Sus scrofa: one gene and its partners. The protein of the gene in region 3 interacts with the protein of the main gene of each other region in a pairwise test. Links are inferred from orthologs where the notes say so. Each region holds a gene or a part of one and is shown on either strand. Other genes may lie near its edges. The genes, in order: SUV39H1, PRR14 and CBX5.

Region 1 (3,985 bases), on a different chromosome or scaffold from region 3:
TTGTAGAAGGGTCTGAGCATTGGGAAGGCCTGTGGATTAAATTTCACTGACCGTGAGGCAGTCCTTTGGAAGTCTCAGGGAGGATCTGAGATCCTCTTTGACCCCTGGCCTCACCAGAATGCCTGGTAATAGTTCTTTCTGGCCCTCTTTGTTCCAGGATGCAGTGTGTGTTGCAAGTCTTCTTGGAATCAGCTCCAGGACCTGTGCCGCCTGGCCAAGCTCTCCTGCCCTGCCCTTGGCATCTCCAAGAGGAACCTCTATGACTTTGAAGTCGAGTACCTGTGCGATTATAAAAAGATCCGCGTGAGTCTGGGGTGACCATGGCCGGGACAGGGTTGACTCACCCCTGCCCCACATCAGTTTCCAAAAGGAATTTTCTCCTCTTATCTTAAAAAAAAAAAATAGGATTAGTTGGCCCTCTTATCATCTCTCTTTTACAGGTGGGAAACCTAAGTAACTTTATGAGAGGGGCAGGAGCCAGAACGAATCCCCAAATAAATCTCTTCTTCCCACCTCCCTAGGAATACAAACCAGTTGCAGAGATTGAGATGCTGAGCCCACGAGTGGAGATGATGATAGCGAATGGTTACTCAGCACTTTGTGTGCTAGGCACTTCCTTTCAGAAACTGATTTAATCTCCTGAGCAACACTGTAAAGTGGGAACTGTTACTGTTGCGAGAGGAGGTAATGGCAGGATATTTAAGAGAACCGCCTGGAGCCTTGCACGGCTTGGGTTCAGATCCTGGCTGTGAAGCCCCAAGATACTCATCCAAATCCTCTGTGCTGCTTTTCCTCATCCATCAAATGGGGATAATTAGTAGGATCGCTCTCACATTGAGTTGTGAGGGTTAAATGAGTTAATAACACACGTAAGGGGCTTAGAACGGTTCCTGCTACCTCATGCCTGCTAGAAAAATGTCAGCTTCTTTTTCTTATTTATAGACGAGGAGACTGAGGCCCAGCCAAGTTCAATAACTGCTTAAGTCCCCACTGCTAGGGAGCGGCAGATCCAGGATTTGTACCCAGGGTGTCTAGTTGTAGAATCCGTGTCATGACGCTCTATCCTATAGCTACCGCTCGGCAAGAAAAGATCCTTCTGGCTGCTGTGTGGGAAACAGACCGTGAGGGTGAGGGTGGAGTGGGGGGGGGGGGCGGGAGAAGGCTGCTGCTGCCAGTGGTGGCAGTGACCGCGGTTTGAAGTGTGGGATTCTAGAGGTCGGTTTGCAGGCGGGGCTGGCAGGATTCGCTGAGAGTGGATGTGGGGGGAGTTGTGTGAAAAAGGAGTCAAGGGTGATGCCAAGAGCTGGGGCTCAGCAGCTAGAAGGAAGGACTAGGTTTGGGAGATTAAAGCTTGGACGTGTGACAGATGGATGGTAAGAGGGAGAGGGGGTCTGGAACCCAGCGAGCCTCACGCCAGAGCCCTTTTTTTTTTCTTTTCTTTGTCTTTTTAGGGCGGCACCTACGGCATATGGAAGCTCTTCAGGCTAGGGATCCAATCAGAGCTGTAGCTGCCGGCCTACACCATGGCCACAGCAACGCCAGATCCAAGCTGCATCTGTGACTTACACCACCACAGCTCTCGGCAACGCCGGATCCTTAACCCACTGAGCAAGGCCAGGGATCGAACCCACATTCTGGTGGGATTCGTTACCACTGAGCCACGATGGGAACTCCCCAGAGCTCGTCCTTTTTGCTTTTTGGGGGTTTTTTTGGCTTTTTCGGGCCGCACCCGCGGGATGTGGAAGTTCCCAGGCCATGGGTGGAATCGGGGCAACAGCTGCCAGCCTACACCACAGCCACCGCAACATGGGATTTGTTTGTTTGTTTGTCTTCTTGCTGTTTCTTTGGGCCGCTCCTGCGGCATATGGAGGCTCCCAGGCTAGGGGTCTATTCTGAGCTGTAGCCACTGGCCTACGCCAGAGCCACAGCAACTCAGGATCCGAGCCGCGTCTGCAACCTACACCACAGCTCACGGCAACGCCGGATCGTTAACCCACTGAGCAAGGGCAGGGACTAAGCCCACAACCTCATGGTTCCTAGTCGGATTCGTTAACCACTGCGCCACGACGGGAACTCCGCAACGTGGGATTTGAGCCGTGTCTGCGACCTACACCACAGCTCACAGCAAGGCTGGATCCTTAATCCACTGAGTGAGGCCGGGGATTGAACCCGCATCCCTGTGGATCCTGGTCAGATTCGTTACCACTGAGCCACGATGGGAACTCCCCAGAGCCTGTCCTTTTGTTTTTTTGGAGGGTTTTTTTTTTTTTTTGGCTTTTTTGGGCCGCACCCACGGGATGTGGAAGTTCCCAGGCCACGGGTGGAATCGGAGCAACAGCTGCCAGCCTACACCACAGCCACCGCAACACCAGATCTGAGCCGCGTCTGCGACCTACACCACAGCTCTCGGCAACGCTGGATCCTTAATCCACTGATCGAGGCCAGGGAATTGAACCCGCACCGTCATGGATTCTAGTCTGGATTCATTACAGCTGAGCCACAACGGGAACTCCCCAGAGCCCATGCTTGTTAACCACTGCACAGAGTCTTTCCAGGAAAGGGGGCGGGCAGTGTGGGTGTCATCCACAGGTGTCGGGATGGAGGTCACATGAAGGCTGGCCCAGGGGTCTGGTCACTGATGGTGTCCATGTCTCCCCCTCCCCCCTCCCCACAGGAACAGGAGTATTACCTGGTGAAATGGCGTGGGTACCCAGACTCAGAGAGCACCTGGGAGCCTCGGCAGAATCTCAAATGTGTGCGCATCCTCAAGCAGTTCCACAAGGACTTGGAACGGGAGCTGCTCCGGCGGCACCACCGGTCAAAGCCGCCGCGGCACCTGGACCCAAGCCTGGCCAACTACCTGGTGCAGAAGGCCAAGCAGAGGCGGGCCCTCCGGCGCTGGGAGCAGGAGCTCAACGCCAAGCGCAGCCACCTGGGACGCATCACCGTGGAGAACGAGGTGGACCTGGACGGCCCCCCGCGGGCCTTCGTGTACATCAACGAGTACCGGGTGGGTGAGGGCATCACCCTCAACCAGGTGGCCGTGGGCTGCGAGTGCCAGGACTGTCTGTGGGCACCTGCCGGAGGCTGCTGCCCGGGGGCCTCGCTGCACAAGTTCGCCTACAACGACCAGGGCCAGGTGCGGCTGCGAGCCGGGCTGCCCATCTACGAGTGCAACTCGCGCTGCCGCTGCGGCTACGACTGCCCCAACCGCGTGGTGCAGAAGGGCATCCGCTACGACCTCTGCATCTTCCGCACGGACGACGGCCGCGGCTGGGGTGTCCGCACACTGGAGAAGATCCGCAAGAACAGCTTCGTCATGGAGTACGTGGGCGAGGTAGGGAGTCGGGGCTGGGCGCCTGTTCCCGCCGCCGCCGTCGCCGCCCCACCGCTAAGCGCAGTGCGCCGGGCTCGCCCGCCCCTCTGTGTGCCTGCGGCTTCCCCGCACTCCCGGTGCGGTGGGCGAGGTGTTGGGGGCGGTGAACCCCAGTGTGAGAGACCCCACCCCAGCCGGGGTGAGTGGTCTAAGCAGGCGGGTAAAGCCCCCCTGAAATACCTCCGGGCTGGGCGGCCCTCCCTCCCCAGGGGAGCCAGCAAAGGGCAAAAGCGGGAACCGAAATCCAGGCAGCGTTCCTTTCAGCGGGCCCTGTGGGCTGCGAGGGGTTGTGTCACCTGACGGGGCACTTCCTCTTCTCATTTCCCCCGAGGGCCCAGCCGTCCGCCCAGCGGTGCCTGCCCAGGGAGGAGCACCTTTTGCTAGTCCGCCCAAGCGGGGCGCCGACGGCCTGCCGGAGGCGGGCGGGAGTGCCTGGGGGAGGCCGGCTTCCGGCTTCCTCCTCTGGACACGGCTCTGGAGAGCCGGCTGTAGGAGGCAGGCCCCCCCACCCTACCAGGCAACCCCAACGCTTAGCGGCGTGGTGCGTTGGAAGTCCGTTCGTTGGAAGTCCGTTCGCGCCTCTCCCAGCCCAGCATGGGCCTGTAGGTG
Region 2 (4,478 bases), on a different chromosome or scaffold from region 3:
GAACTACTGCTGCTGGCCTACACCACAGCCACAGCAAAAGCAATGTGGAATCTGAGCCGTGTCTACAACCTACACCGCAGATCGAGACAATGCCAGGGCATTAACCCACTGAGCGGGGCCAGGGATCGCACTCGAATCCTCGTGGATGCTAGTCAAATTCGTGTCCACATTCACTGAGCCACAGTGAGAAATCCCTGTGTCACTACTCTTATCATTTAATCTCATAGGCGAGAATCATGCTGGGCTGGGTTAGGTCACTTGTGCACCGTCATCTCAGACGCAGGATTCTAGGCTTCAGGCTCTCTTGCTCCAGCAAGAAAATAAGTACTAGCTTGGACCAGGGAATCCTGGGGAAGGAGTGGAGGCATGAGTTTTGGTTAGGCGGTGAGGGTGCCTTCACAGTGCAAGAAGCCACTACCTCCCCACCACCAGCTGGCTCCTGGTATAAAAGTTTCAGGATGAAGCCCCTTTAAGCAGCAGGATTCCATCCCTGGTCCCTTACTACTATGGGACTGATTACACAGCCCATCAGCTAGGTCCCTCTTGAAAGAGGGCTCGGGGGAGGCCCGAAAAGAGAGGAAAGCGGCCGCACCCCACCGAGCACCCCAAGGTTGTTATTGGTCTCCTGGCACTAGCACCTCTATACTGAGCCCCCAGCGCCAGCGGCAGAAACCCCCGCTCCTCCAGGAAGAGGTACACAACCCTTGGGTGAAGTGAAGCTCAACGCCCCAGCCTCCTCCGCACCCCCGCTCAGCCCAGTCCCTCCAGGACGCCACGCAACCAGAGAAGCAGGAGGTGGCACCAGCCTGTCTCTGGTCCCCGCCACCCGCTGCCAAACACTTCCGTGCAACTCGGGAACCCGGTTCAGCAACCCACGATGGTACTGGAAAAGGCTTCAAAGGGGCCTCTCTAGGCAACTGGGAATTTCACATATCGTTAGCACTCAGTTCACGTTTATTGGCCCAAGTACGAAAGAACCGGAAGATGCCCTTAAAAAACGTGGCGGTACTCTAGCTTCATGACAGTTGCCTCAGTAGCTCAAGAACCTTGGCATCATCTTCGGCCACTCACTGGCCGGAAAAGATGACGCCATCCGGCCCACTGCGGTCCACTGAGGACAGCGCTATCTGCCCTCAACTATAATGGCGGCGCTGCCCAATTTGGCTTCTTGCCCCTAGGGATGATGGCCGCTAGGCGGCTTCACTTAGTTTCTCACCACCCCGGAAGACGGCGACCGGCGATTGGGCGTTGCCCAAAGGCTCTGAGAAGAAGGCCCTCGGCGGTTGGGCAGAGCTGGGTAAGGCTAGTTTTAAAGGAGCCGGAGGTGGGAGCCGTCGAAGACCCGGGATCCGCGGGAGGCGGCGGTGAGCGGCGCGCGGGGGAGGGCACCGAGCGGCTGAAGAGAGGGCGGGAGGAGGGAGGGAAGGAAACTTTTGAACCATCTGGTCCCGGGCTGGGGAGAGCGCTGGGCGGGGATCCGGGGAGGGCGGAGGGAGGGGGTCTGTGGGCGGGACCTCCCGGGATTGGAGTGAAGGGGGTATCTGCTTGACAGTGGATCCCCGGGGATCCGGACTGAGTTTGTGATGCTCAAGCTCGGGCAGCCCCTTTCTGAGTGGAGCTTTGTGGAGCCGAAGCTCACGGGGAGAGGAGGATCCTCGCGCGGCGTCTGACTGGAGGAACCGCGCTATAGGATTCTTTCAGCGGGGATCCAGTCTAGGGGATCTGGTAGGGGGGGAACCGTCGGCGTGTGGGAGTGTTCCTTCGGAGTCCTCGCCCACTCACTGGGAGTGGATGAGGATTACAGAGGGATCTGGCGGAAACTGAGCCTCTGAGGACCGGGATCCCAGCTGATCCCGGGGGATCTCAGGGCAGAATCTGAAGGGACAAAGGCCCCAGGAGGCTTGGGCCGTGGGAGAACTGGGGCCGCTGCAATCCAGGTTCTCGCGGCCAGGCAGGGCGCGAGTGATCCACTGATCGCGGCAGCAGCGGGAAGACACCCGTTCCCGGCGGCCAGACGAGGGCGCCCTTCCGAGCCCCAGGGCTCCGGCCCCTGGGCTACTGGGAGCCTCGGGCGGACCATGAAGGGCGGAGCCCCAGGGGAGGGGCTGGCCCTCACTCCCCGCTCCCCCGCTCCCCCCCAAACCCAGGCTGGAGCCTGGGATCCCCCAGGGACTCCCCGGAGCCGCCGCTTCCCCCATGGACTTGCCCGGGGACTCCAGGTGAGAGCGCACCCCGCCCGCCTGTCTTGAGCCCGGGAAACGGGGAGCCTGGTGGCCGTACCGGGGAAACCACAGAGCCAACAACAGGCTTAGAGGACCGTCCTCTGCTTCTCTCCACCTCCAGCCCGCCTGGCCGGCAGCGTCTGTGCCGCCAGCCTCTGGCTCGAGCATTATGGGGAGCCAGGAGCCCCAAACGGCCGAAACTGCAGCCCCTTGGGGCCCCTTCGCCCTTGGAAAAAGCCTCTCGGCGGGTCCTGGCTGTGGTCCTGGAAGATGTCATGGCTGCCCACATGGTGAGCCCCTTGAACTGAGAGGCCCCCTTCTCCCTCCCGTCTCCTGGGTACCAAAGCCAAACCCGTTCTTTAATGAGGATAACAAACACCTCATTCTCACACTCATCCATCAGGCAGCCTCCCACTCGGCTCTCACTTACTCTAACCTGGAAGTGGGTAGGGTCTCCTGGACCCATTCCTCACCACCGACTCTGCTGGGCTGAAACCACGTCCCTACGACTCTAAGTATGAGAAACCCTTCTGCTTTCTTCCCAGCCCAACTTCTAAACAACCCTTAGGAAGCAGGCTGAGGTCTTTGGTTCCACTGCTCAGATTAGAAAAACTGAGGCCCCAAATAGGGCAGTGACTCTCTCTGGGTACCTTCTCCTTTTCATTTCTACAAAGAAACCTGGGTGAATATTACCCAAGTCCCACACCAGCAGCTCAAGACACTCTATTATCTGGTCCTTAATTCAGCTCAGCTGACTTCTTGGGCTCGCGAATGAATTCTAGGCACGATGTCTGCCATCTGTATGGCAGAGGACACTGTTAGGCCCAGGGAAGCCCTGTCCGTCACCTTGCTCTCGACACCTCCTCCTCTCCTAGGTTCCCCTGGTGCCCCAAGAGGAGATCTCCACCCCACGGCACCGCAGCAACCATCAGGATTCCGCCCGAAGCCAGCCACCTGCCTCACCACCCCGACAAGCCACGTGGTGCTCACAGGCCAGGTGAGCATGGCAGGATGAGGGGTAAGCTGGGAACCCAGCTGAGCCCTACTGATCTTCCTGTTCCGTCCCTAGGCCCCCCGACCCACTGCGCTTATGCCGAGAGCCCTTGAGCCGTGTCCATCGGCCCCCTTCCACCCTGAGGCGGCGTTCAAAGCCAACACCTGGCCCAGAGGAAGGCCCTTCACAAAAGGTGGACCAGGCCCCCCAGCCCACTCTGGTGGTGATGCTAGAAGACATTGCCAGCCGCAGAGCCCCGGTTGAGGTATGCGAACTTCAGAGAATGATGTTGGGGGTTCAGCTGGGGGCAGGGGCTCCAGCGGGCATGGAAGACAGAGTAAAAGGGCTGAGTCGGGGGTGGATTTTTTTTTTTTTCCTTTTCTTTTTTAGGGCCGCACATGCAGCATAAGGAAGTTCCCAGGCTAGGGGTCGAATCTGCTGCAGCCATGGCAATGCCGGATCCAAGGCACATCTTCGACCTACATCACAGCTCATGGCAGCGCTGGATCCCTAACCCACTGATCGAGGCCAGGGATCAAACCTGCATCCTCATGGAAACTAGTTGAGTTCGTTACTGCTGAGCCACAACAGGAACTCCTAGGGTGGATTTTGCTCAGAGTGAGAACAGTTTTAGGTGAAAGAGACCTCTGCCTGAGCAAAGACCTATATGAAAAAGCCTTTAGCGTGAACCTAGGCAGGCCTCTGGCGACTGAGAGATTCGGAGTGTGAGGAGCTAAAGAAGCCGCAGGGGCCTTCCCTGCCTGCCCACGAACATCCCCTGTTTACATCCAGGGTTTTGCCGGTGAGACGCCCAACTTCATCGTCCCAGCAAAAAGGTGAGAGGGCTGGGGAAGGGATTTTCAAGATGTACTGGCCACAGCCATTATCCAGGTGTCAGAATTTGCTTGCCCAGTCCTTCCTTGTAGCACCTTCAGAAGCCTTAAGGGACGGGGAGGTGCTGGCTCAGGTGGGATCTGATCTGGAGGCTTCCTCAGCCTCGAACTTGCCCCTTCACCCCAGAGCTGAGCCCATGGTGAGGGTTCACCATCCAAAGCCTCCGCCCAGGGACCTGGAACCCCCATTCCAGCCGCCTGCCATGTCTACAGATCCTCCGGAGAACCCACCACCAGGTAAAGACTCAGATGGATGAGACTTGGGGTTCTGGAAAATTCTGGCTGAGCTTTTGAAGTGTCAGGTGCAGAGGTGGGGATGGAGCTTAAGGCCCCGCACCCCCACCACCCCCGGGTGAGCTTGGTGTGTGA
Region 3 (3,985 bases):
TTTTAAAGTCTTTAAAATAAATTATTTAAAAAGCTAAATTGAACAGAGTTCCCGTCGTGGCGCAGTGGAAATGAATGCAACTAGGAACAATGAGGTTGCGGGTTCGATCAGTGGGTTAAAGATCTGGCATTGCCGTGAGCTGTGGTGTAGGTCACAGTCGAGGCTCAGATCTGATGTCGCTGTGACTGCGGCATAGGCCAGCAGCTATAGCTCCCACTGGACCCCTAGCCTGGGAACCTCCATGTGTCACAAGTGCAGCCCCAGAAAGCAAAAAAAAAAAAGCTACATTGAGGGATAAAGGGAAAGATTACAGTTTACGTTGCTTCTGTGGCACAGGTTCAATCCCTAGCCCAGGAACTTTCAAATGCCTTGGGCACAGCTGGAAAAAAAAAAAAGGTAATTGTAGAAACTAGGTGGTGTGTATCTGAGTGTTCATTCAATTTTTTTTTGCCTCAGCTGTATATATGGTTTGAAATTTTAAAAAACAAATATTTGGGGGAAATGTGGTCTCAGATCTAAGCCTCTCATTAAGATGAGTGCCTCATCCTAGGATACTTTCGAGGTCCAAAGATCATTATGAAAAGCTATGAGCTATGCTTTTTGTTTGTTTCTTTTGTTGGTATGCAGAAGTTCCCAGGCCAGGGATGGAACCTGAGCCACAGCGGTGACCCTCACCATCACCTCAACAGTGACAACACTGGATCCTTACTCTGTTGAGGCACAAGGGACCTCCTCCTTTTGCTTAAATGTATGTACTTTAGCTTAGTTATATCCAAAAGAATAGTAATAATAACAGTTTATACTTACACTGATGTATTAGGCTTTACACATCTCCCCAACATCTCTATGCTATATACTATTTCTTATCCCTCTTTTACAGAGGAGGAAAAAAGATTAAGAAACTTCACCAAGGTCACTCAGCTCTTATTAGAAGTGGTAGAGCAAGAATCTGGACCCAGGCAATCCAGCCCCATGTCTACTCTCCTAAAGTCACTATACTGCCTCTGAAAAGCCTTCTCTTTAGAACATCTGCTCCAAGAAAGGGGAAACTTTGCTTAGTTTACTGTGGTGTCTTCTGACTCTTACGAAAGGAGTGCTGGCAGAGAAAGAAACAGACAAAGACGGTGGTGATGGTGCACGGGTGCAAAGTCTCACAGCCTGAGAGAATGTACTTACTCGGAAAAGCCTTTCCACTTCAGCAGATATTCCACTTGCCCCTTAACCACGCGTCTGTCTAGCACCTTCTCCACAACATACTCCTCCTCATCCTCTGAAGAAGAACTGTCAGCTGTCCGCTTGGTTTTCTTTCCCATGTCTCACGCTGTTCCACCTGAAGGACTAAGGCCACCGGGTTCCTGCAAGTGCGAAGGACATAACGGTCAGAATCCAGGTGAGCAGTTAAAATTTTCTGTCTCTTCTTGATGGAATGCAGGGGGTATAATACAAAGCAGCTCCCCTATAAAACTGCCATATTGCACATACCTTAACAAAGTTTGAATGTTAAATAAATTATATATTCACTTAGAAAACAAAGTTTCCATGTACCTTTTTCTTGGGTCTTGAGGCATTCTATAGATGAGTCCTAAGAATTTAATCAAAAACAGGTAAATCCTCACTTTCCAAACCACAACTTTCTCTTCAGCTAACAAGATCAAAATTATTAGATGGCACAATTATCTAACTCTTCTAATTTCAGATTCCAAAAAATAAGTAGTGTGTGGGATTTTAGTCTTGGATACTTCTGTAACTGTTTACAAGGCATAAACTCGTTGGAAAATGTGGAAAAACATTCTGTTAGAAGAACCAAGACAGAACTAAAACCTTTCCCCCCAAAGTGACTAAGGTTCTTTATAAAAAAGAAACAAAAAATGAAAAGCCATCAAAATTTAACTTTCCTCTGCTCTGAGCGCCTTGAACAGTCTCTTAGCAGCACAGAAAATGCCTGCTCGGGCATCTTTCACCACATTTTCAGTGATTCAGGACATTTCCCTTAAACAAATTGAGCCTGTCCCTTCAGAGCATCCATCAGCTCACAAAAGTGAGGCTGACATCTCAAACACACTAAACCTCTTCTTTCACTTGGGCATGGGAAGGAGGCAGGGAGGGAGGAGAAATAAATTTTTAGTCCTAAAAATCAAAATTAGTCATTGGGTTGTTCAGTAATTCTTAAGGCTCAACTAATCCAAATACTAAGGAGGTACCTCTCCTCTAACTGGAGTTGACTCTGGGCCAAAGGAAGAGGAGGAGGAAAAGAAGTCTGGTCCCAGACTCACATCAACATGAAGGCTCAAAACACAGAGGAACCATTCATAGGCCCAAGGAAAGCTGAAGCAAGGCAACACAAATGGAAATTGAGTTAAGCTCAGAAATATGCACAACCAGGGGGTACTCAACAGAGATTCTAGTTTTTAAAATTCCCACATTGTTGCTACCATACCCATTTTTAAGACTTCTTCCTTAACCATGTTAAATGGTGCCTAGAATCTGGATTACAGAGCAGAATTGTTTTCTTAGCTGAACTCCATTTTTATCTTGCCGTAATCTTTAAAGATTTTTCAGCACTCAAAAAATATTTCCATCCTGATCAGAAGACCACCATAGGAATAGGGAAGGCCACTTACTAATCTCAGAATTTTGTTCAAGTAGCATAAAAAGTTGCATTTATCGATTTACTTCATATTGGCAAGATTTAGGGAATTATTTCAAGAGTATACAGTTGGGAATCATACCTGCAGAACTTACTAGCAATAGGTCTGCCCACCCAAAATACTGTTTGTGCCCCTTACTGTTCTGTAATAAAACTATGGTTTTATTAAAATACTTTACTTGGAAGTGGGGTGGGAAAGCAGAGGAATGTTAAGGTAAGGGGTTTCAAAATAATTTTTCCATGAATTCAGAAGAAAGTCCTAAGCTTCAAGCAAAAAAAAAAAAAAAATCTGATTTATTTAAAATAAAAGCAGCCTCCAACCTCACCAGAGACAGGAAATGTCCTATTCCAGGGAGAATACCCCACCCCCACCCCCACTCACCTTGGAATTTCCGGGAGCTGAGCAGTTTAGGTCAGAGCGCTGGGGTTAAAACCAGCCCCGGGTTAGATGCATGCAGTTAAGCATTGTGGCTATGGCCTCCCCTGCCTCACAAGGAAAAACAAGGATTTACATATGTGTTCTTCAGTTTGAGGGAGGAAAGAGGAAAATCTCCCTTTATACCTTCATGCAGAAGAGGAGCCCCAAAGGTAGAAGATGAATGGGGGTTCCCTCCTTTACCTACCGGATCGCCCCAGTTCTTTCTTTCCCTCTGGGCTAACAGGAGGGGCCTCCCCTCCCAGGTCTGGGGCTTGGCGGGCTGGCAGCTCCCCCGCCCCCACCCAGCTGCCTAGGCGCCACTGCGCAGCTGTCCCAGTCCATTGCCATGGCAACTGGCAGCAGTACTAGACTAGGGGGAGAAAGGCAAACGGAAAAGTTAAAAGGCTTAACTTTCCTTTTCAGTGAAGACTGGGTGGAGAAGTTGGAAGGTACCTCCCTTGGCCTCAAGGCTAAGGCTTCAGAGCTCTAGAGAACTGGCTCCAGGGTTTTAAACCCAAAACTTGTGCTTATTCCTTTAAGAACACTGGGAATTAATCAATAGCATTTTAAGATCAACTAACAGGATTATAGCTCAACTAGAAGGGGGGACCGCCAGGGAAAAGCTAAATCCATCTACACATGATCAGAATGAACTGCCCACCCCCTAATCCAGCCCTCCAGAAACATTTCAGACAAGGCCTTTTCTACCATCTGTCACTGAACAGTTAATTAAAATTGTTGGTGTGGGGAGGACCTGGGAATGGGAAGTATTTCAAAGATACTATACAACTTCCTTCTCTTGGGGGATTACTAGAAAAAGAAACAGATTCTGGAGACTTGAAGGGCTACCAAAGAACCTTTCAACTGAAATTAAGGCTAGGAAGAAATTTAATTAAGTAGATTTTTTAAAAGAGGGTAGA

Evidence for each region.
Region 1: the proteins of CBX5 (region 3) and SUV39H1 interact in binary tests that used the Homo sapiens proteins (3 or more experiments, as listed by UniProt). The link is inferred for Sus scrofa from reciprocal best matches to the Homo sapiens genes CBX5 and SUV39H1.
Region 2: the proteins of CBX5 (region 3) and PRR14 interact in binary tests that used the Homo sapiens proteins (3 or more experiments, as listed by UniProt). The two-hybrid records come from large-scale screens. The link is inferred for Sus scrofa from reciprocal best matches to the Homo sapiens genes CBX5 and PRR14.

What each region holds. Positions count from the first base shown.
Region 1 is NC_010461.5:42,800,082-42,804,066, forward strand, and holds part of SUV39H1 (histone-lysine N-methyltransferase SUV39H1), read left to right. Parts: intron 1-157; coding exon 158-303; intron 304-2,674; coding exon 2,675-3,337; intron 3,338-3,985. UniProt on the Homo sapiens protein: Histone methyltransferase that specifically trimethylates 'Lys-9' of histone H3 using monomethylated H3 'Lys-9' as substrate. Also weakly methylates histone H1 (in vitro).
Region 2 is NC_010445.4:17,748,147-17,752,624, reverse strand, and holds the start of PRR14 (proline-rich protein 14), read left to right. Parts: upstream 1-1,244; 5' UTR 1,245-1,364; intron 1,365-1,491; exon of another isoform or gene 1,492-1,725; intron 1,726-2,147; 5' UTR 2,148-2,196; coding exon 2,197-2,219; intron 2,220-2,343; coding exon 2,344-2,512; intron 2,513-3,097; coding exon 3,098-3,219; intron 3,220-3,291; coding exon 3,292-3,481; intron 3,482-4,008; coding exon 4,009-4,052; intron 4,053-4,236; coding exon 4,237-4,346; intron 4,347-4,478. UniProt on the Homo sapiens protein: Functions in tethering peripheral heterochromatin to the nuclear lamina during interphase, possibly through the interaction with heterochromatin protein CBX5/HP1 alpha. Might play a role in reattaching heterochromatin to the nuclear lamina at mitotic exit.
Region 3 is NC_010447.5:19,463,813-19,467,797, forward strand, and holds part of CBX5 (chromobox protein homolog 5), read right to left. Parts: intron 3,402-3,985; exon of another isoform or gene 3,271-3,401; intron 3,204-3,270; exon of another isoform or gene 3,030-3,203; intron 1,566-3,029; exon of another isoform or gene 1,546-1,565; intron 1,356-1,545; 5' UTR 1,314-1,355; coding exon 1,177-1,313; intron 1-1,176. UniProt on the Homo sapiens protein: Component of heterochromatin that recognizes and binds histone H3 tails methylated at 'Lys-9' (H3K9me), leading to epigenetic repression. In contrast, it is excluded from chromatin when 'Tyr-41' of histone H3 is phosphorylated (H3Y41ph).